Linked DNA regions of Rattus norvegicus. The main gene of each other region encodes a partner of the protein of the gene in region 2 in a complex. Links are inferred from orthologs where the notes say so. Each region holds a gene or a part of one and is shown on either strand. Other genes may lie near its edges.

Region 1 (7,124 bases), on a different chromosome or scaffold from region 2:
GTCCCTTCTCAGTGCTGAAATCTCTTAATTTACTCCACTCTTAGCCAGTGCAGAATTAAAGCAGAAAGGATGGAGAGTTAGGACAGAAGTGGGGGATGAATTAAATCAGATTTTATTCTCCTTGTCCCCAAAGTAACTATATACAACAAATTTTTCTGATGGAAGCCATTGCCTTAGCAAACACTTCTATTTAGCAAGGCCTTGCTAGTTTGCTTGCAGTTTTGGAATAAGAAGCATTTTGAAGAAATAATATGTATCTGTGAGTGTAGAGGGAATATAGAACTGTGTCATTATGGAAGTAAAAGGATTTTGGAGCTGGTCTCAATGACATTTTAGTTCAGAGGGTCTTTTGAAGTCAGTCTACTTTTGTTCAACAGATTTCAGTAGTTTGCTTGCTTTACGGTGCTGATTACATCTCCATTTGGGGACATTTGTTATGCCTTTGTATTGAAAGGAAGAATTATTGGCTTTCCTGTTCTTGTCAATTCTTGGCTCTAGTTTGACACTGGTTGTATTCTCCTTTGCATAATACCCTCTTCTATTTGTTTCTTCCTTCTTCCCCTATCCTTTTTTTCAAAATAGGGTCTCACATAGTTCCTAGCTAGACTACAACTCACCATGTAGACCAGACTGGCCTTGAATTCACATAGATCCATCTGCCTCTGTCTCTGCCTCCTGAGTGCTGGGATTAAAGATGTGCATTACCATGCCTTGCCTTTCTCTTTGTTTTTGCTGTACTTTATCTAGCCTTATTACCTTTGATATAGGGGTTTTTTCTTTGTATTTTAGCCCATTCTCATTGTCACCTGTACTATTCTGGCTGGCCTATGTAAACCAGGCTGGCCTCAAAGTCAGAGATTCATGTGCCTCTGCCTCTTGAGTGCTTAGATTATATGTGTGTGCTAACCCACTGAGTTTAAATACTGTTTTTTAAATTTCCATTTTTAAAAAGTCTTCTGCTTCTAGGTTTAATCTCCTTGATGCTATTAAGACTGTGCCAGTGTTGTTGGCATGTGAGTTTTATCTTAGGTTCATGTTCTTCAAATGTCAGAATTTATCAGATGTTTTTGCCTTCTTTGGAAAATTTATATTTTTAAAACCCGTTCAACTGGCAGATATCTGAAATTATTTACTGATTTTTTTCACAAGTAGATTTCTTCCTCACTTTACTGCCTGGAATGTTGATGGCTTTAAGAATGTTAATTAAACATTAGTGGTGGTTTTCTTTAGGACATTATGGCTTGAGGATTCTGTTTTCTTTCCCATTGTGTTTTCTGTTTTAAAAAAGCAGCTGCTGCTACCATTACCAATACCAGTTTGTGTTACTTGTAAGGAAAATGGCAGCTTGTGTTGTTTTTTTACATTTGTTTATACTTCTTGGCCCATGTTCTTTTATGACTGTTCACTCTAATTTCTGGCCCTTCCATAGTGGCAAGTTATTAAAACACTTGCCAGAAATTTCTATAAAAATTAAAGAAACTTTGTAATGAGCTAGGAAACTGGAAATACTGTGGCCCTACCCTCTACCTCCTTGGCCATGTTCATCTTATTGACTTAAACAGTAAAAGGCTAGTGTAGAGAAGGGTGATGTAAGGGAAGCAATGCAAGTCGGAGTGGGACTATTTCTAGACTATTTAGTAAGTGGGCAACATGTGATAAGGCCTCTTTATGCTTTCTTGTAAAATCTAGAATAGGATTTGGATTTTATTTTTTAGAGACAGTCCTTGTATCTTGATTTGGCTTTGAACTCTTGCCTTGGACTTGCAAGTATGAGGATTATAAATGTGAGCTACTATACTGAGGAGGTTTTGTTTCTCCCTTTAGGACTGATTTATGAAGATACTGGTACATGTATGTGGGGGGGAGGAATAAATTATAGTTCTCTCTACCACAAATTTATTTTCATACTATCATTGTTGGTTTGGGCTACTATAATAAATAGAATGGCCTAAGCTGTTATAAACAGCAGAAGCTTAGAGAGTTCATGAAACTGAGTAGTCAGAATCAAGGCCTGGGCAGCTTGATGTTTGAGGGTTGACTTCATGGTTCTCACTGTATTCTCATTGAAGAAAATGTCAAGGTAGCTCCAAAGGTTTCTCCAAGAAGATCACGCTAATCCTTACTTCCTAATGCTATAGCTTTGACGGTTAGGATTTCAGCATGGGAACTTGAGGTGAAAGAGAACACAAAGTTCCAGAAAGGTTCCCCCCCCACACACACACCCACCATTTTTTCCTTGCCTTTTTTTCTGTTTTTGTTGCTATTTAATTTTGGTTTTGGTTCTTGTTTTAGGATGAGGTATTACTGTGTTTCCCAGGCCAGCCAGGAATTCAAAATCCTCTGTTCTCAGAGCCAGGCGTGGTAGCTCATACTTTTTCTACAGTACTTGGATCATGGAGTCAGGGATCCAAAGTTTGAGGTCAGCCTGTGCTACATGAAACCATACCTTAAACAAATATCCAAACATCTTTTGTCCTCAGTCTACTGAGTATCTGAGATTACAAGCTTGTGCTGCTGTGATTGGCCTGATAGTTATTGCTGATCAATGTCAATGTGTAATAATAATAATAGTTGATTACACTGCCACCTAATTAATACAAGTCAACCAGTCAGAAGAAGGTCATTCTTTTTAGGGAACAATGTTCTCAAGTCTAAAGTCAATATATCTTAGTGACCACTTGCACTGTTTGTCCACTGTGGATGACTTGAAATGAGATTTTTTTTATACATGTCTTCATTTTTGTGTCATTCATAAATTTTGGGCAGGGATTGTACATGTTACATCTTTGAAAATGCCTTTTCACGTGCACGTACCAGGCTCTTTAGTAATCCATAGACATGATTTTAATGGTGCGTGTGCATCTCTTAGAGATTCAATTCCCAAGTATAGCTTTTAGGGTATCATTAGAATGAGCTGCTATTTCCCCTTCAAGGCTATATGTATGGGTGTTTTGTATGGGTTTATTTTTTGCCTGCATGTATGCATGTGCACCAAATGATTGATTAGTACTTCTAGAAGCCAAGAAGAGTGTCAAATCCCCTAGAGATGGAGTTACAGATGGCTGTGAGCTATCATGTTAGTAATTACGGAGCCAGTGCTCTTTGTTTGGACTAGGGGCATGGTTTGAGACATGACATAGCTTTAGCTATCCTATCTTAAAATTCACTCTGTAGACCAGTCTGACTTTGAACTCCCAAAGATCTGCCTGCCTCTGCCTCTGATTGCTGAGATTTAAGGGAATATGCCATCACTGGCTGGCTGGAGCCAGTGTCCTTAACCACCGAGCCATTCTCCCAGCAATGAAGTTTAAAATGAGGAAATTTCACTTTTCGTTTTTGGAAGTGTAGTTGGAGCTCAGAGATCTGCTAACTGCTAACATCAAAGGAATAGAGTTCTCCTGTCTTTGATAGCCTATTGTACCAGTGTTCCTACCAAGTTTTGCATGTACTGCTTGTCCTCTTATTCATTAAGAAACATTATGAAGTTATAGCCAAACCTAATTCCTCAAGGCATTTATATTTTGAAGGTAATTGAAGTTGTTCTCATTAAGAAAAAAAAAAAGATCTTGACCCAAGTTCTACTAATCACAGTAAACTCTAACCAAGTTAAGCCTGTGGCTCAAATGAAGCAGGTGGATTGCCATGAGTTCAGGTCCAGCATAGTGAAACCCTCTCTTCAAAAGAGCTTGGTGGATTTCTGACAGAATCCCAGCACTCAGAAGGCAGACCTCTGAGTCTGAGGCCAAACTGGCCTACAGAGTGAATTATAGGCCTGCCAAGGCCACATAGTGAAATCCTGTCTCAAAAAAAAGTTTTTAACAAAAACAAATCCATACAACTAAAGATGATTAAAGCCACAAGAATGAGGTTTATATTGACAGTGCTGGTTCATTAACATGATGGTTCATATTTTTTCTAAGTATTTGTTGAACAAAATAAAATGAGTGAACAGAGGCTTAAACATCTTAAGTTTTGATAAAATTAAATAGTCCAACCAGGTTTTTTCCTACTCCATATATTTTTACCATTTTAAAACACCTCTAATCCTCCCATTCAGAAAGCTAAGCCAGGAAGATTGTGTTTGAGTTGACTGGACCACACAGATTTCCCTGGCTCAAATAACTATGAAAACCTGGAGCTGGATGTGTATCTTCATGGTGGAATGCATGCAGCGAAGGCCCTAGGTTCAGTTCTTACCATGTCAATGTAAAAAGCCATTTTTAGATTACAAGGAAGATAAAAGTAGGCCACATTGTTGAATTAGGCCCAAGCACTACAGTTTGCTAACTCTCTGACCTAGACTTCTAGTATACCAGTGTTTTCCCAATGTTTTTCTATTCTATTCCATTTACTTGTTTTTCTTAAAATTCACCTCTATGCCTGCATTGTGGTTTCCAAGTAGAGAAAGATCTAGAATACATAAAGGCGTGTGTTTTCAATTCGGTCTCTTTCTTTTTAGATAATTTCCACTTGTTCATCAAGATGGAGAACTCAGACTCTAACGATAAAGGAAGTGACCAGTCTGCAGCTCAGCGCAGAAGCCAGATGGATCGATTGGATAGGGAAGAGGCTTTCTATCAGTTTGTAAATAATCTCAGTGAAGAAGATTATAGACTTATGAGAGACAACAATTTGCTGGGCACCCCAGGTAAGCTACATGTAATTTATATATGTAAGTTGCTGGGTTTTTAAGAAAATTGTTTTATAATGTTTCTTTAGTTAACGAAAAATTACTAATGCAGGAGATGCCAAATGGCATTTACTACTATATTTATTGTCTGATTTTATTCTTTTATAATTAGAATAGTCTTGTCAGATATGCTTGTAAGTTTTGAGTTATAAGTCTTTAGTGAAATGGATTAAATAAGAATCGAGCTGGACAGTTTAGCTAGTTATGCATGCAGGTACAAAATAACCAATGGGCCTTTGGTTTCTAGGATAGACTCATCTTATTTTGTCATCTCATCCTTCTCTCTGAATATGTCCCAACTGCAACCCTACAGAGTTAGCTGTGGGTAAACCAACTGCTGGAACTTGTCCTTAGTTATTCTTTCACTGAGATACAATCTCCTCTGATCTTAGTTACAACTCAAGTCTGTTTCCACTAACCTGCAGACAATTTCATTCAGTTCAAATGGAAGGTTTTAGCAAGGTGGAACATTTTGAGCTAATAGTACTAAACTTTAATTAGAATATCTTAACTGCAATTACGGCCCAGATGTTACTTGGTGTGCTTTTTGGCAAAACTTAAAGTGCAGAGCACAAAGCCCGACATGACATGGTGGCATGTGCCTATAATCCCAGCTGCACAGGAGGCTGAGACAGGAGGTCCTTGAGTTTGAGGTCATCTTGGATGGAAAAAATACAGAAACTGACTTGCTGTTCATTTGTAATTTGGCAAAAATTGTTCAACTTTCAGGCGAAAGTACTGAGGAAGAGTTGCTCAGAAGACTACAGCAAATTAAAGAGGGTCCACCACCACAGAGCTCTGATGAAAATAGAGGTACATTTTGTTTGGGGAGGTGGATAGAGGTTGGAAAGATAGGAACTTTCCAATAGGGAATATCAACCAAAGATTATCCAGAAATTCCACAAATTAATCTGGTGCTAAGTACTCATAGAAAGAGAAGTGACATGTTCTTGATATTTGGGGAGTGCTGTGGCTGCCTCAGCTTTGGATTGTGTTAATTGGGCAACAGTGAAAAGTCGTCTATTTAAGTTGAGATTTTCCTCCTCTTGGTTTTCCACATCTATTAAAATGTTCTCCTACTCATTTCCTTATATATAAGCATGGCTTTATCAGCAAAAGGAAATGCTGCTTCGTTGGCCTAGCACCTTTCATTAGTTGTTTGTTCCTCTTTGGGAGGGGCATTAGCAATGACTGGAGGCATGTTTGGTTGGCCCAGCTAATAAGAGTCTGCTGTTACAGGCAGGGAGCAAGTATGCTGGAGAATGGTACTTCTCTCTCTGCAGGAAATAAGCCTATAACCTAGGAGCTGTGATAGACGTTTAATTTGTGAACATACTGTTAGTTATTGCTGTTACTCTAGGTTCAGACTGTTCATTTGATAATAGTCTTTAGTTTTATGAAAGTTGAAAATCTTGATAATTGACAAATATTCAAGTAAATATAAACTGTTAGCCTTGTTTATATTTTTGCTCGGGCTATAAACATTTTAAAACAACTTCATGGTTATCAAAGGCAGTTAAGCCCTAGATGAAGTAATAGAGACTGATGAAATTTTGGTAGAAAATCCCAGTGCTAGCTGTCCCTGACTAGTGATGTTGTAGTTGATTTTGTTTAGATGGTGGCTTGGAAAATCCATGTTGCCTTCCCACAGTCTCACAGCATCTTCTAGAGCAGTGGTTCTCAGCCTTCCCAGTGATGACCCTTTAATACAGTTAGTTTCTCATGTTGTGGTGTCCCCCAATCATGAAATTATTTCATTGCTACTTCGTAGCTGTAATTTGCTACTGTTATGCGTCATAATGTAAATCTGCAGATGATCTTAGGTGACCCCTATGAAAGGGTTGTTTGAGTCCCCCAAAGGGGGTTGAGAATTGCTGAGTCTTAAGTGTCTTAGCTTTCTCTTTTCAATGTAAATTTGTAACATTTGTTCAGAATTGCAAAGTTCTTTAATGTTGTTTATGAGTGTTATGTTTCATGATTGTCCTAATTTTGTAGTTCCTTTCTCTCTCCCCCTCTTTGTTTTAAACAGCTGGAGAGTCTTCAGATGATGTGTCCAACAGTGATTCTATAATAGATTGGCTTAATTCTGTCAGACAAAGTGGAAATACAACAAGAAGTGGTCAGAGAGGAAACCAGTCCTGGAGGGCAGTGAGCCGGACTAATCCAAACAGCGGTGATTTCAGATTCAGTTTAGAGATAAATGTTAACCGTAATAATGGAAGCCAAACCTCAGAGAATGAAAATGAACCATCCACTAGGCGTCTTAGTGTAGAAAGCATGGAAAGCAGCAGCCAAAGGCAAATGGAAAGTCATGCATCTGAATCAACATCTGCCAGACCATCTAGAGCAGAACGCAATTCAACTGAAGCATTAGAAGTGCCATTGACCAGGGGTCAGAGGAGGGCAAGAAGCCGGAGCCCAGAACATCGGAGAA
Region 2 (7,426 bases):
AAAGCCCCGTCTTCACTAATGTTTTTTCCTTTGAAAGGTATCTGCCTCGGAAACCCAGCTCTAAAGCTGGTAACTTGGAAAGTGACACCTTGCTTTTTCAAATTTCCTGTATGGTTCTGGAAAATGAGTTTTAACTGTGATTCCACCTGCCAAAGCTGAATTTTCCCTCACAGGCTCTCCAGCCCAGTTCAGGCGGTGGGGGTGGAGGGGCTCTGTAATTCAGCTTTCTTGGGACACTTAGGACAAAGAGAAGCCGTGTTGTGGAAGTGGACTGCTTAAAGGGCGGGCGTGAGGTTCCTCACGGAGAACAGACACTGTATTCCTGCAGCTCACTGCTTCATGCTTCCACTTCTGTCCCATTCGGCCGTCCAGGTTAGGGCCTGACCTGGTTCACACTGAGGTCCTGGCACATCTCAGGACAGACAGCACATTCCGTTCACGCTCTTCTCACTAGGGAACCTTCCAGGGTGGCACAGAGAACATGGTTGAAGACTGCTGCTGTACTTCTGGGAAACCCTGCCGAGGTGAATCTGAGCTCCCACCTCTACAGAGGGCAGCCAGTAAGGCTAGGACACGCCGCCTCCCCAGAAGTCAGTAATGAGGAAGGCTTGTGACTCACCACCTCCTCCATTCCAAAGGTCAACAGAATTCCTACAGTGACGAGCTCAATTAAAACACTCCTAAAATGTCCCATTAAAGAACCCCAGGTTTGTAGCCCATGAATTCTATCTATATGAGGATAAAGGAGGTCTTCCCTTTCTATCTTCATACTCGTCCCCATTCTCATACTTAGACATGGCCAACGCCATGACTGTAGTTTTATTTTAGTTTTATGCACATAGGTATTTTGCCTGGATGCATGTCTGTGCAGCTCATGCAGGCAGTGCCATGGAGCACACAAGAGCACGCTGGATGCCCAGGAACGGATTGCAGACAGTTGTTAGCTCCCTGTAGGTGCTGGGTATTGAACCTGGGTCTTCTGGAAGGGCGGGCTCTTAGACACTGAGCCATCTCTCTAGCCCCCACATCTTGCAGTTTCAAATATCCTTCACTGTCTCAAGGCCTCTTCAAACAAGATTCTTTTACCTAACATAGCACTTCTCACTTGCAGCTTTACGCAATTTAAAGCTCACTGTCAGTGTGCACACCTGAGACGCCTACTCCACTAAACAGGTCACACGCGGCTCCTGAGAGGTAGATGGCTGGCTACATCTGCTCTTTCACTCTGACCCTGACTTGCAGAGACTGCCAGAGAACGTCCCACGTGTCCCCGCAGGTGGCTTACAAGCCATTCCAAAGTACAGTGGAAGGACAGACAAACGGCTCCTGTGCACTCAGACGGTAAACAATTTCTCTGTGGCTGCATGCGTAAGTGCACTGTACAATGTGGTAAGGAACAAGGTTTGGGGTTGACTGTCTCAGCTCAGATCTGGACGCCCTGACTGGCAGCTCCCTGCACAGTGCAGGCAAGATGCTGGAGTTACTCTTTTTTGGCATCAAAATGCTCTCTGGGCATCGGTGAAAAGGAAGGAAGAAAGCCAAGCAAGAAAAGCGATGTAGGGGAAGCATGGAAAGTGTGACGGCCCACCTACAACCATGCCTGTGTCAGGTGCACAGACTACCCTGGTGACTAGCAGGCACAGCCAGTGAGCCCAGGGTCTTTCCTCTGCCAGAATGCTGCCTAAGTTCTAATAGCCTGAGGCAGCGGAGATCAATGAGAAGATATTCTAAAGTACACAACCTTATCTTAATAGTAGGAAGTCCCATGACTTGACTACACTGTACTCTTTCTTGACTTGTGTTAGGCATTAAAGAAATTCTATTTCATCAATATGTTATATTAATGGGCCATTACTAGAAAATACATATATATGTATACACACAGATTTTGGCATTAGGGATTAAACCCAGGATCTTACCAACAACTTATGCTCTCAGCCCTCAAAATATTTCCAAATGTATTACCAAGATATCACCACAGTTTCTCTGGCTTCAGGCGAGCACCTGGACCGAGGCAGCAGCACAGACACGTGTGGTTACCCTCTCTGTGAAGCCTCCTTTCCCCACAGTCTGCCTTTGCAGCCTGACCCTGGAGTAATTCCACTTTCCTATTTACACAGACATGGTGAAAACATGGTATTCTCTATAATATTATTCTGTAATATTACTTGTATATGCAGAAAAGAGATAATGAGAAAGAGCAATGAAACCCATGTAAAGTTAAGATAGAGGAACGACGTACGGTTTCTCACGTCTCGTTTCCTTTTAAGCACAGTGGGTACGGGGAAGCAGCCTACGCCAACAGAGCAGATGTGCATATATATAGATATATACATATGTTCAGTATATACATATCACAACACAGAATGTTAAAAACGGGCAATGCATCATACTGACCTTAGGGGGTTTAAACGGATAGTCTGGTGAAAAGGTAATGTCAAGAAAGAACACCCCTCCTTCATAGACAGATCCTGGGGGTCCCAATATAGTTGACCTCCATTCATAAATGTTGTCTCCTTTGGGTCCAGCACTGAAATAAGACACACAAATGAGATGTGCTTAGAAATTACATAAAGTTTGGAATTAAAAAAATATATGGTAATAATAAATTGAGCCATTTCATAAAACATAATAAAGTCAACACATTAATTTTATCTATCATATTGTTCCTGTCAACATCATCATCCTATAAATACAACATGCTGGTATTATGTAATCCAGCAGATCCGAAGGTCCTGCTCGCAACCCAAACGCTATGGAAGACGTCTCCGAGGACACTGGCCTTGCCTGAATGTGGGATTATGTGTGAAGACCTGAGAGGGGTGACACAGCTCTGGGTCAATAGCAGAGAATTTCCAAGTGAGAAAGGGTAATGCAAAGTGGCTGGCCCAAACCCTCTAAGCACTGAGAGCACAGACTGTCCCTGACAGACACCAGGGAACAGCCACCATTCTGAAGACCCAGCCATTTGGAACCTCTTCCCCCTACTACCCCATATCCTAGATAAGACATGTTATTTTATGATTGTATTTTATAACTTCTTCTCTGTTCCTCCCTAGAATAAACATTTCTTGAGGAATAGATTTTAGCTACTAACTAACTACACATTTGTTGGCAATGACAGGCTAATGGCTGGGCAGGTCATATGACTGTGAATGGCCAACATACACCCATGTCTCCAGCAAATTCACTAAGAAGAATAAAGCCGAGTGTGAATGGTGCTAATTCTTCCCAGTGAGCATCAGGGCCACAGTATGACTTTAATTTAGCTCTTGGCACTGGGGGCCTAGCTCAGTGGTACAGGGTTTGCTCAGTGTTTCTGATCTTTAAAGCTCCTCATGGGCAGGGGAAACCCAAAATAACTGGAGGTTTCCCAGGGTTCTTTTTGTTTTATCAGGTTATTAACTATGATGATATCCTAACAGAGTGGACAACATCATGAATGCTTGGGAAAGAGTTTACTCAAAAGTCACTGTAACAAAATTGATCATAACCAAGATAAGACTACACAATGATACCATTTTAAATGTAACTCGCCTCACTAAGCAATCAAAGTAGAAGGGAAAAAGTTATCCTCACAGGTTACAGAAGGCTTTCTGCCCTTTCTCCCTCCACTTTTCTTCTTCCAGAATCCCTTCCCTTCTCTTCCATGCAAAAGTAAAACCTTTACAGTATCTATAAACTGAGAAATGATATTTAGACCATGGAAAGCTGACCAAATCTTAGGGCCCAATCATAAATTCATATCAATCAACAGGGAAAAGATTAATAATCCATCAGAAAGACACCAGCAGACATTTCTAAAAGGTAGAAATAAAATTTAAAATATTTAGTTTCATCAAAATCGGGAAAATAACAATTCAACTGGTAAATATAAATGCGTAACAAGCAAAATGGAGTGGTGCACGGTGAGTCCGACGTCTACACACTGCAGATAAACACGCTCAAATGTGCTGGAGCACAGCGCTCTTCAGTCGGGAAGGAGGGAAAGTCTGGGCTTTGTAGCATCTTGGGTGGACCTGGAAGGTGCTGAGCTCAGCAAAGTCAGGTCTAGAACAACAAGTGCTGTGTGATCTCACAGTGTTAAGTAAAGCACTGGTCTCAGAGGGAGAGTGAAACAGTGGCTTTGAGTAGGAACAGAGTAGGAAAAGAGGCTGGTTAGTGGGTATGAGCCAGGTAGATAAGGACTTAAATGGACGTGATCCCAGGTAGATAAGGACTTAAATGGACGTGATCTCAGGTAGATAAGACTTAAATGGACGTGATCCTAGAGTAGATAAGGACTTAAATGGATGTGATCCCAGAGTATGTGGCCTGGTGAGATGGCTCAGTTGGTAAAGTTGCCTGCTGTCATACCTAATGTCATGAATTTGGTTTCCCAGGAAGTATACACTGGAGAGAACCCACTCCTGCAATGTGTTCTCTGACCTTCATATGTACACTAGGACATGTATATAAACACACACGTACACATCCATGTACACAAAATAAACACAAATGTAATATGGGAAAAGCATATTAAAAGGGCTATAGAATGCTATGTAAAACGAGCAGTTCTGTGATCTACTGCGTGTTAAAAACTGATCCAGTGTCCTTCCCAGCTGTAAAGTTTATGAACTATAACAATAACCAGCATTGGCAAGATGCCCCCCAAGGGTACAATAGTGGCACTTACATGTCTTAATTAACAGCCATTTAGAGAGACTTAAGGCCGCCTCTGTTGTAGGGAGTTCATGCCTGGTACCATAAACCCAGCCAACTACCCATGGCTGCCGAGATCCCGGACCATGGCTACCACAACGGCAGCCTCCTTAACCAGTGCAGTTCCCAGCTGTATTCTAAACACCGATCCTGATGCCCACAAGTAAGTGTCGCTTTCATCTCTCCCACTGAAGCTTCCTTTTGTAGCAGTTGGAGACAACTGCAGACATCCTCATTTAGTCCTAAGATAGAGAACAACTGCATTTGGAGACAACTGCAGACATCCACATTTAGTCCTAGATAGAGAACAACTGCATTTGGAGACAACTGCAGACATCCACATTTAGTCCTAGATAGAGAACAACTGCATTTGGAGACAACTGCAGACATCCACATTTAGTCCTAGATAGAGAACAACTGCATTTGGAGACAACTGCAGACATCCACATTTAGTCCTAGATAGAGAACAACTGCATTTGGAGACAACTGCAGACATCCACATTTAGTCCTAGATAGAGAACAACTGCATTTGGAGACAACTGCAGACATCCACATTTAGTCCTAGATAGAGAACAACTGCATTTGGAGACAACTGCAGACATCCACATTTAGTCCTAAGGTAGAGAACAACTGCATTTGGAGACAACTGCAGACATCCACATTTAGTCCTAGATAGAGAACAACTGCATTTGGAGACAACTGCAGACATCCACATTTAGTCCTAAGGTAGAGAACAACTGATTTTTGGATGCCCCAATCCAACTGATACACCCATAACACAACCCCTACACTTAAGGCTCAGGAACACCACAGAAAGGGGGATAGAAAGAGGCCCAGGATGCCTGTTGTTAGTAGGGTCTACTACATGAGACAGGGAAGCCACATCCACTAAATATGAAGAAAAATATGGTTGACTAAACAAGAGCTGTACAATGACAACATGAGCTGACACACACATGTGGGTGGGGTAATCTCACAAGGCTCCTGTACTGGCTGGTTTTGTGTGTTAATTTGACACAAGTTGGAGTTACCACAGAGAAAGGAGCCTCCCTTGGGAAAATGACATCCAGCTCTAAGGCATTTTCTAAATTAGTGATCAAGGGGGTTGGGGGAGGAACAAGCCCCTTGTGGGTGGTAGCATTCTTAGGGTGGTGGTCTTGGGTTCTATGAGAAAGCAAGCTGAGCAAGCCAGGGGAAGCAAGTCAGTAAGTAACATCCCTCCATGGCCTCTGCATCAGCTCCTGCTTCCTGCCCTGTGTGATTCCGGTCCTGACTTCCTTTGGTGATGAACAGCAGTGTGGAAGTGTAAGCTGAATAAACCCTTTCCTCCCCAACTCGCTTCTTGGCTATGATGTTTGTGCAGGAATAGAAGCCCTGACGAAGCCAGCACTACCCACTGATGAAGAGCCATGGGCCATCAATGGCTGCTGAGAGGGGGTGTAAGTATTCTCCAGGGATAAGCTCCTTGATAGATCGTCCAATCCCAAGTGGTCAGCCCTAAATATATATACAGAGGGCAACACTGAAAGTTAGCAGGTTTCACACACACACACACACACACACACACACACACACACACACACGAGCACACACTGCAGTAAAGCGGTCATGAATCTGAGAGGGAGGGCGAGGTAGAGGAGATGAAAATGATGTCACATAAGACTCATGTATCGAAATTCTCAAGAACGAAACACTAAACCGACCCAGGCCTCAGGGTGAGCTCATTGGTAGAGCATTCGTCTACTGAGCATGAGGCTTTGTGATCGATTTCCCATACCACTAATAAGTGAATATGTTTTGAGAAGATATGGACTGGAAAGATGTCAATCCATAAGTGACTGTGTGAGAACAGGGGTTAAGTTGGACTTGGGAAGCCGCATCACACAGATCTAGCAGTAAAGATGATGCCCCATTCAGTTTTATTTCATGTATTTGGACTTTGACTCTCTCTCCTTCTCTCCTCTCCTCTCCTCTCCTCTCCTCTCCTCTCCTCTCCTCTCCTCTCCTCTCCTCTCCTCTCCTCTCCTCTCCTCTCCTCTCCTCCCCTCCCCTCCCCTCCCCTCCCCTCCCCTCCCCTCCCCCACCCTCTCTCTCCCTCTCCTATTCTTTCTTTTGTCTTTAGGGTTATTTTTATTTTAGGTGTGTGGTTGGCCTGAATGCAAGTATGTGTGCCACATGTATGCCTGGTCGGTGTGCTGGATCCCCTGGGACAGGAGTTATCGATGGTTGTGAGCTGCTATGGAGGGGCTGGGAAACTAACGCAGGTCCTTTGGAAGAGCAGCAAGTACTCTCAACCCCTGGGATCTTTCTTGATCAACTCCTTCTCTAAAATACAGTAAGTAAAATCGCAGTTCCTAATGCAGTGCAGAGGAATCAAGCACACTGCACGGCAGTGAGACAGTAAGGGACCAGACAGCATTCTGCCCATCCTCCCATCTGGTAGTGAAGCAGAGGCCAGCACCTGCAGCAGCCTCTTGTGCCAACAGAGCACACTCTTCGGATGAATAAGACACACTTACATTCTGGGCTACAATTAAACCCAGTGAAGAGAGAAGTTTATGAGGAGGAAGAGTTTATGGAGAGTAAATTATAAGTTATAGTTACAACATTATCTCAAGGCTGATGGAAAAACTCAGTTAATACACAGCTATGAAACAGTGTGTCAAAGACTTTCAAATGTGAAGTCACTTTGAGAAGGTTTAAGGTGATCTTCCAGGAATGGAAA
Region 3 (7,426 bases), on a different chromosome or scaffold from region 2:
ACCAGCTCTGCCAACTGCATGCTCAACAACCTTCAACCCTGCCCTACAGCAGGGCTCTAGTGCAGTTCAGCTCTCCTGACTCTACGCCTGTGCGGCTGGGGAAGTGAACAGTAATGCTCACTCTGACCTCATGGCCGCACAGCCACATAGGCTCTCAATGTGGGAGGATACTCTTCTGAACTTCCACAGTCCAGTCTGCCTCCCACTCTCTTCCATAGCTACTCATCTTTTCCTAGTTCGTCACTGACAAACACAGGAAAGCGCAAGAGGACCTTTTAAAGTCCCCACAGAGCATCTGCTCCTGCATGGCACTCCAATCTCTCTATTTGGGTGGCAGATCTCATCCCCTCCCACCCACTAGGCAGGATCCTCTCCAGGATCAGTCCCATCAACACACAAACATGCCATTATTACTTCTCAGTTTAAAACAAAAAAATAAAATTATCTGGTTTAGTGACATGGGTCTGTAATCTCTGCTATTTGGGACACTGAGAATCTTCAGGACTGAAAATTCAAGAACAAGACTAGACAAGCCTGGGCAATTTGGTGAAACCTCCTTAAAATAAAAGTATAAAAAGATGGCTGGGGATATAGCTCGGCAACACAGCACTTGCCAAACATACCAGAGGCCCCCAGGGTCAGTCCTCAGTGGAGGGGGAGGGGGAGGAAGGAAGGGGGGGGGGAGAGAGAGAGAGAGAGAGAGAGAGAGAGAGAGAGAACACCCCACTATCATCCAACACTCCTCTGTACTACCTGAAGTTGTAGGACAGCCAGTCATTTGTGTCTCTGCACCTATCTCTGACTTCTGTTCCTTGCTCACTCCAATCCAGCCACCATTAGTGTCCTTCAAAGACCTCAGTGGCTTTGGGCTTGCTATTGCTTCTGCTGATGTCATCTGTCTTTTTGATTAACTCTGGGTTAGTTCCTGGTCTCCTTCAATAGCTCTGCTTAGGTATCATTGACACCCCTACCACAACAGCAGTGGTGATACACTCAGACCCACCAGATGCCACCCCAGCTCCGCCTTTTCCTGTAACAGTTCCTTCCTGGATCCTTCACTTTCCCATACCCTTCAGGTCTGACCTGTGACCTGCGACCCTGTAGCTTCCGGTACAGCACCTTCAGAACTCTGACTCTCCCTGTTGCCCAAAACCCATTTCTTCTTCTTTTTTTTTTTTTTTTCTTTTTTCTTTTTTTTCGGAGCTGGGGACCAAACCCAGGGCCTTGCGCTTGCTAGGCAAGCGCTCTACCACTGAGCTAAATCCCCAGCCCCCCAAAACCCATTTCTTGTGGTCTACTGATGACATGTTTTCCAAAGGTTTCCTCAGAAAGACACATAGAAGGTGATTTTATTGTTTTGTCTCACAGATGTGAAAATATCTGTGTTCTATTCTATTAGAATATAGGATTCTAAATGAGAATCATCCTTTTCACCAGGCACAGTAATCTGTAGTTCCAGCATTCGGGAACCCAAGGCAGAAGAACTAAGTTCAAGACCAGCCTGGACTCTCAGAGAGGAAGAGGGAGGGAGAGGGAGAGACGGGGGGTGGGGGGGACGGGAGTGTGTGTGTGTGTGTGTGTGTGTGTGTGTGTGTGTGTGTGTGTGTGTGTCAGTCACTGTTGGGTGACTCTACAGGTGGAGACAGGTTTGAACCTGAGTCGTGTGACTGCCAGACAAGTACTGAATGTACTAAACTACATTCCCAAGCCTTGAAATCATCCTTTTCACAAAATTGTGAAGGCAAGTTCTTCACATCTTAAGTGCTTAGCATTGTCACTGACCAATCTGATGCCATTCTAGTAAGAGTTTTGCATGTGACATGTAAGTCCTTGCTCCAAGTGTTTGTAATTTACCTTTAGCTCCAGTGTTTCAATGCCTCCAGTGGGCCCTTCCTCACTGACTATACTAAGTACCAGAATACTGGTAACATGGGTGATCTTTCTTGGCAGGGGAAGGGGCATCATTTGTAGCATTTGCCAATTTCTGTGCTGCCTGCTGTGGCCAATTTCATGGCACCACCATGACATCATCAAACACAGTTGGAGAGGATCCATAGCGCTGCACGACGCAGCCCCCACCATCAGATAACATAGTCTCAGAAACATGGATCATGTCAAGGGACTAGCTACAGCTTAGGAATGGCTATGTTTAACAATCCACTGGCCGCATGTTGGTTCCAATAGTCGTGGATGATCTAGCTTTCAGGATTAGGAAGTACTCATATTGTTTCTACCTCTTTGGTCCTCGATTTCTTTCTTAGGAACATCAGGTACAGAACTCAATTTTCCTTTAACTCTTCCTTTCCCATTTCCCTATGCCCTCCCTCACTCCCCCTTTCCCCTTGGAGAGTTCAACCGCTAATCTAACAACTGTAGGTCTCCTAGAGCATTGGCATTAGGACTACCCTTGCTTACATCTCCCGGTGTCGCAGTGGCCACAATTCTGCCTCTTCCTTTCCTAGTCTTTTTTTTTTGGGGGGGGGGGGGTGATGGGGGATGGGGACGGGGATTCTCTTAGGATAAATGAATTTCTTACATGATTCAGGTCTTAGGAGTCCATTGTGTCTGTTTGCACGCTTTGTGCTAACCCATGACCTACATGTTTATTTGCTTTTTTTGCTTTTCTACATAAAGATTACTAGAGAACATTTACCACACAATTTTGCATTAGGAGCCATGTATTCACAAGAAACAAAAAAATAATTTCAATTCCCATGTACATTATATTTTCAGTACAGTAAACTACGACCGTGGAGCTTACAGAATCTACTCAAGATAGTGGCAGCGGGTAAGATGTACAAGGACATTTATAATGTCTCAGTCTTAGGTGGCATGAAAAACATCTAAACTCATTAAGTGAGCTTACAGCTCCTCTCAGCTCTTTGATCATGTGACTGAGGGTGCCCACTGCACTAGCTAGTTTGGAATTGGGAAGCACAACTGAAGCATTTCCTGTGACCTTGTCTGTAGAGAACTGTTTTAACAGATGACAGATGAAGGAGTGCCCAGCCCACTGTGGGCAGACGACCCTGGACTATATCAAAAGCTAGCTAGCTAGGAATGAGCCAGGGACAAGACAGTAAGTAGCATTCCTCTCTGGTTCTCTGTCAAGTTCCTGCCTCCAAGTTCCTGCCTCGAATTTCTGCCCTGACCTTCTTCAGCGGAGGACTGTGACATGGAAATAGAAACTGGATTAAACCCATTCCTCCCGGGCTACTGTTGGTCACGGTATTTATCAAAGCAACAGAAAGCAAACTAGGACACCTACCTTCTATAACTTGCTAATGAAATGGTTAACTTAAAGTTAATTTTGAAAGAAGACTCTTAGGTTCAAGTTCCAACACTGCTATCAAAAAGGGAGGGAAGTGTTCCACACGTGTGCACCAGGAAGACCGGGGAAGGTGAAGCACACAAGACCAGCCTGGGCTACACAGTGAGACACTGCTTTCAACTGAAAAGAAGAGAATGGTGCTACTAAGGCAGAAGACAGGTGTGTCAGAGAGCGGGCAGGGTAAACGAGTGTCAGAGTCCATCTAGCCCACAACCGTCCCTGTGCACAGGCACGGAGCCGCTGTAGTAAGTTTACCTGTTTGCTCATCTTTCCCAGAAGCAGCAATGCTTGCTCTGACTCATCCGCTCAATGTGGTCTGGCCTATTTGGGGACCAAAAACAGATATTTTCCATACCTCATTAAGGTTAGAGCAATTTAGGTATGAAAGCCAAGGAGGCCTTGCCTGACTACCCGGGGCTTTAGCCCAAAGGAGCTGTTCCTTTCGTGCTGATATACTAAGAAGGCTCTTAGATGCCATGGACTTCCTACTTCCAAAACCATCTACAGTTCTGGCTTGTCTTGTTCTTAAGGGCCACCCCCCTATGTCTCCCTAGACTTTTAGAGGGGTTTTCCAATGGAGCAGAGCAAAGTGGATGTGTTCAACACGCCATATTAACCAGAAGTTCTAAAATGATCTCCACCACTCACTCCTCAAATATTTAAGGACTTGACAGTGAACCACTGAGGATAGAACAATAAGCAGACATAGTTTCTGTCTCTCTGCAGCTCACATGTGGTCTAAGAAGGACCCGGAAGATGTACCAACAACCACAGGTCCTCAGAGATGGGAAAACATCAGGATGACAGAGGAGTTGGCTGCAACAGGCAGACCTACCAAGGCCAGATGGGAACACAGTGTCCCGAAGCAAATGGCTACCAGCCTAAGGCCAACCATATGAAGTTAAGCCTGCAGGGCCTGGAGGAACAGCTTACCGGCGCTGAATCTGCCTTGCAAAGTTGTTGCTAGAAGCTGAGCAAGGGAACTGGACTTCACTGTGCAGGGTGGCATTGCGGAAGAGGTCACAGAAGTTCTCAAAGAGCTCCAGAAGTTCATCTGACGTGTTCTCAAAGACGGCAATCACCTCTGTTGTCACCATGTTGTACACCACAAAGAAGGAGGCCTGCAGAAGAAGACAGGCAGCCAATGGGGTGGTCATGCCTAGGTAACTTTCTACTTCACCTGAAACACACGACACCCAACAACCCACTCAGGGACCCCGCCTGGGACTAGATGGGGATGGAGGAACCAGCACTGCTGAGAACCTTGATGCCACAAGGTTTCCCGTGCTACTGCGCCGCTAGGATTACTGAGCTGGCCCGCGTGTATACATAAAAAGGCTTTCAGTCTTTCATTTCAAACTGTACAAATTCAATATTTTTCCTTCCAAGTGTTTATTCGCTACTTGTTCCCCAATCTACCCTAAGATTTTTTTAAAAAAAAAAAAGTTTTTAAAATGCCAGATTTAATTTTCCTTCCTGCTGGGAAAGTGATTTGCAGCCCAGGGCTGCCTGTTGGTAAATGATTTTCTCTTCTATGTGTACAGTTGAAAGTTCAATTTAGGGGCATTTATTTTTCCCTCTTATATTTCTAGCATGCAGAGAGACGCCTTAAGCACATTGTGTGCTAAACCGCCTGGACAAGTTGTATCCACGCAGGGCACTGCGGATGAACAAATGAAAAGTCAGACAGACATTCCCATTTCCTTTCCATAAATGTTCTTTCAGCCAAGAGCTTTTGTAAGGTACATTTGAGATTTCTGCCAATTAGGATGGGGGGGCAGGGACCTGAAAAGCATTCAAATGCCATAGGTGGCAGTCACCATTTTTCCTGAATGGAGGGACCCCTGGGCGACTGGGCCTTTTCCTTGACACCTTGAGTGCTCTGCCTTGCCTAACAGGAAGGAAGCTCTAGGTACCTTGAGGGTTTTTTTGTCACAGTGAACACTACAGTGTGAACTAAATCTGCAAGCTTCCAGCAGGAGTCTAAGATGTCCGGGACTCACGGATTCGCATTTCACCTTCCTTTGATTGAGTTTTAATCTGTTACCCATCTCTGCAGCCATTTGGCCCACCTGTCTCGTAGTAATTAGTCCTCCCCAGAGCTCCTCTTACATGACTTTGCAGTCACCTGGAAATTAAATTTGGCTGCAAATTAAAGTGGCTGGAGACAACCTGAGAACAATACCCATAATATTACCGAGGCTTTGTCTATGGATGTAGTTCTTACTCATTAACCTTATTGGAACTTATCAAATGAAACTGGAAGGGGAGACAAGAGGACAACTGGAGCGTGGAGACTGGTTTCGAGTTTCCAACTCCAGCAGCATGCCCAGTTATAGCTGACTGCAACTACCAGGAAAAAATAGGTCACCTTTTAGCAAAAGAAAAAAAAAGGATAATCTCAGCACTGTGATAACAGACAACTTATTCCTTCCAAAATAGAAAGGTAATTATAGCTGAAACCTAAATAAAAGAGTGACTCATGTCCCATCTATAGACCAGGACACCACTTTGATCATATCAGGGTTTTAACAGGATCTTTCATAATTATGCGAATATAAAATTTCACAAACATTTACCAGCTTTCCCTCTACGGCAGACTGGGAAATTAAGGACAGGAGGGGAGAGAAGTCAAGGCCTCTACCACCTATCTTCCATGACGCAGAAGATGAACTAGATGTTCACCTGTGGTGGCTCAGCAACACCACCCATCATTAACAAGGAAGAAAGAGATTTTTAAAAATATACTCGAGAAAAAAAGAAAAAAAAAAAAAAAAAAAAAACTCCTTGAAAGGGGTTGGGGATTTAGCTCAGTGGTAGAGCGCTTGCCTAGCAAGCGCAAGGCCTTGGGTTCGGTCCCCAGCTCCGAAAAAAAAAAAAAGAAAAAAAAATATATACTCGAGTCTGATCACTTTCCCCTTTTTAGAATACATAAGCTGTGATTATTTTTGGGGGGGTTGCTGTTGGAAGATATTTTACCACAGGTTTGGTAATGTATGTTTCTTATGCATATGTGGTACATGTGTGTATGTGTATGTTGTGTGTGTACTTTATGTGCCAAACCTGGCTGGCACATGGTCTTCCAGCACTGTCTGTCGCAGTCATTAAGTCACTAAGGTAAGTGTCTTTCCCCTGAAGCCACGGCTTGCTGGTGAGTCAGCTCACTCTTGGGATTGTCTCCTTCTCCTGCACTCTGGAATTACAGAAGGCCACCACACCCATCTGGCATTTACAATGGTTCTGGGAATCCAAACTCCCCTCATGCTTGCAAGAAAGATGCCTAAACCACTCGGTCAACCCCCAACACTGTCTAGAATCCCTTAAAGGCAGAGTCAGCTGACTTCCTAGATTACTATCTGCCTCACTGCTGTTTCTAAAGCAGGAGGATTGACTGGGGGCAAGCAAGGTACAGAAAGGTGGGCCTCTTACTCAGACCACACTTAGTGCAGAGCTTTCAAAGATTCCCAGAAGGTATCTGAACTCAGCTCGGGTCTGTCTGTCTGTCCCTCTTGTCACCACTTATCCTCCTTTAACTTTTTAAGTCAAGGTCTCATAACACAGTCAGGTCTGGAACTCACTGCCCTCAAATCCAAGCTCTCTTTGCCTCCAGTCCCACTGCTGGGATTGTCGGCATTATGGAAGTATGCCTACCATCATACCTAGAGTCCTCAGTGCCAGGGACTCTGAGCCTCATATCCTGAATAAGCTCTCTACCACCCGTCCCTGAGGACTTCCATTTTTGCATGGAGGGCTCATTCTTGCTGCCAGAACCTTTTTGGTTCAATAATCAGTCTTACAAAGTTTAGGAAGGATTATAAATGTGTGGTCCAAACCCCGGCCTTACAGCATTTGGGCTCCTGTATGACAGGTACTGAGAATGTCCTGAGGAATGACTGAGATCATAACCACATGGCAGTGGCTTGACGCTGACCCTCCTCCATTGGCCAATTTCAATATGTGATGCCAGACAAAAAGGAACTGACTTTAAATCTGAACCCAAGCATAGCAAAAACCGGCACCATTTCTGATACACACGGGGCACAGGCAGGAGACCTCATCCCGTACCTGAGATGGGTCTGTGACCCGCAGCGTCAC

The links. The genes of interacting proteins can lie anywhere in the genome.
Region 1: the proteins of Ube2e2 (region 2) and Rlim are in contact, whole or in part, in a crystal structure (PDB 6W9A), measured with the Homo sapiens proteins. The link is inferred for Rattus norvegicus from reciprocal best matches to the Homo sapiens genes UBE2E2 and RLIM. Residues at the interface, in NP_001357154.1 of Homo sapiens: Lys52, Thr55, Lys58, Arg59, Lys62, Pro112, Asp113, Pro115, Phe116, Ile142, Asn146, Trp147, Ser148, Pro149, Ala150, Leu151, Thr152; in NP_057204.2 of Homo sapiens: Ser571, Val572, Cys573, Ile574, Thr575, Cys596, Arg599, Trp600, Pro608, Ile609, Arg611.
Region 3: the proteins of Ube2e2 (region 2) and Det1 are in contact, whole or in part, in a cryo-EM structure (PDB 9BJZ), measured with the Homo sapiens proteins. The link is inferred for Rattus norvegicus from reciprocal best matches to the Homo sapiens genes UBE2E2 and DET1. Residues at the interface, in NP_001357154.1 of Homo sapiens: Ala77, Gly78, Pro79, Lys80, Gly81, Arg88, Ser89, Thr90, Gly101, Val103, Phe105, Phe123, Arg124, Thr125, Arg126, Ser134, Gln135, Gly136, Gln194, Trp195, Arg198, Tyr199, Ala200, Thr201; in NP_001137546.1 of Homo sapiens: Arg258, Phe259, Tyr261, Asp264, Thr267, Val268, Phe272, Glu274, Asp289, Pro290, Phe291, Ile292, His297, Arg298, Leu300, Val301, Trp304, Arg305, Phe319, Phe320, Gln321, Phe323, Asp324, Arg327.

Annotation. Positions count from the first base shown.
Region 1 is NC_086039.1:73,055,365-73,062,488, reverse strand, and holds part of Rlim (E3 ubiquitin-protein ligase RLIM), read left to right. Parts: intron 1-4,459; 5' UTR 4,460-4,482; coding exon 4,483-4,648; intron 4,649-5,419; coding exon 5,420-5,503; intron 5,504-6,719; coding exon 6,720-7,124. UniProt on the Homo sapiens protein: E3 ubiquitin-protein ligase.
Region 2 is NC_086033.1:9,626,374-9,633,799, reverse strand, and holds part of Ube2e2 (ubiquitin-conjugating enzyme E2 E2), read right to left. Parts: intron 2,531-7,426; coding exon 2,398-2,530; intron 1-2,397.
Region 3 is NC_086019.1:142,163,904-142,171,329, forward strand, and holds part of Det1 (DET1 homolog), read right to left. Parts: coding exon 7,397-7,426; intron 4,453-7,396; coding exon 4,265-4,452; intron 3,653-4,264; coding exon of another isoform or gene 3,595-3,652; exon of another isoform or gene 3,587-3,594; intron 1-3,586. UniProt on the Homo sapiens protein: Component of the E3 ubiquitin ligase DCX DET1-COP1 complex, which is required for ubiquitination and subsequent degradation of target proteins. The complex is involved in JUN ubiquitination and degradation.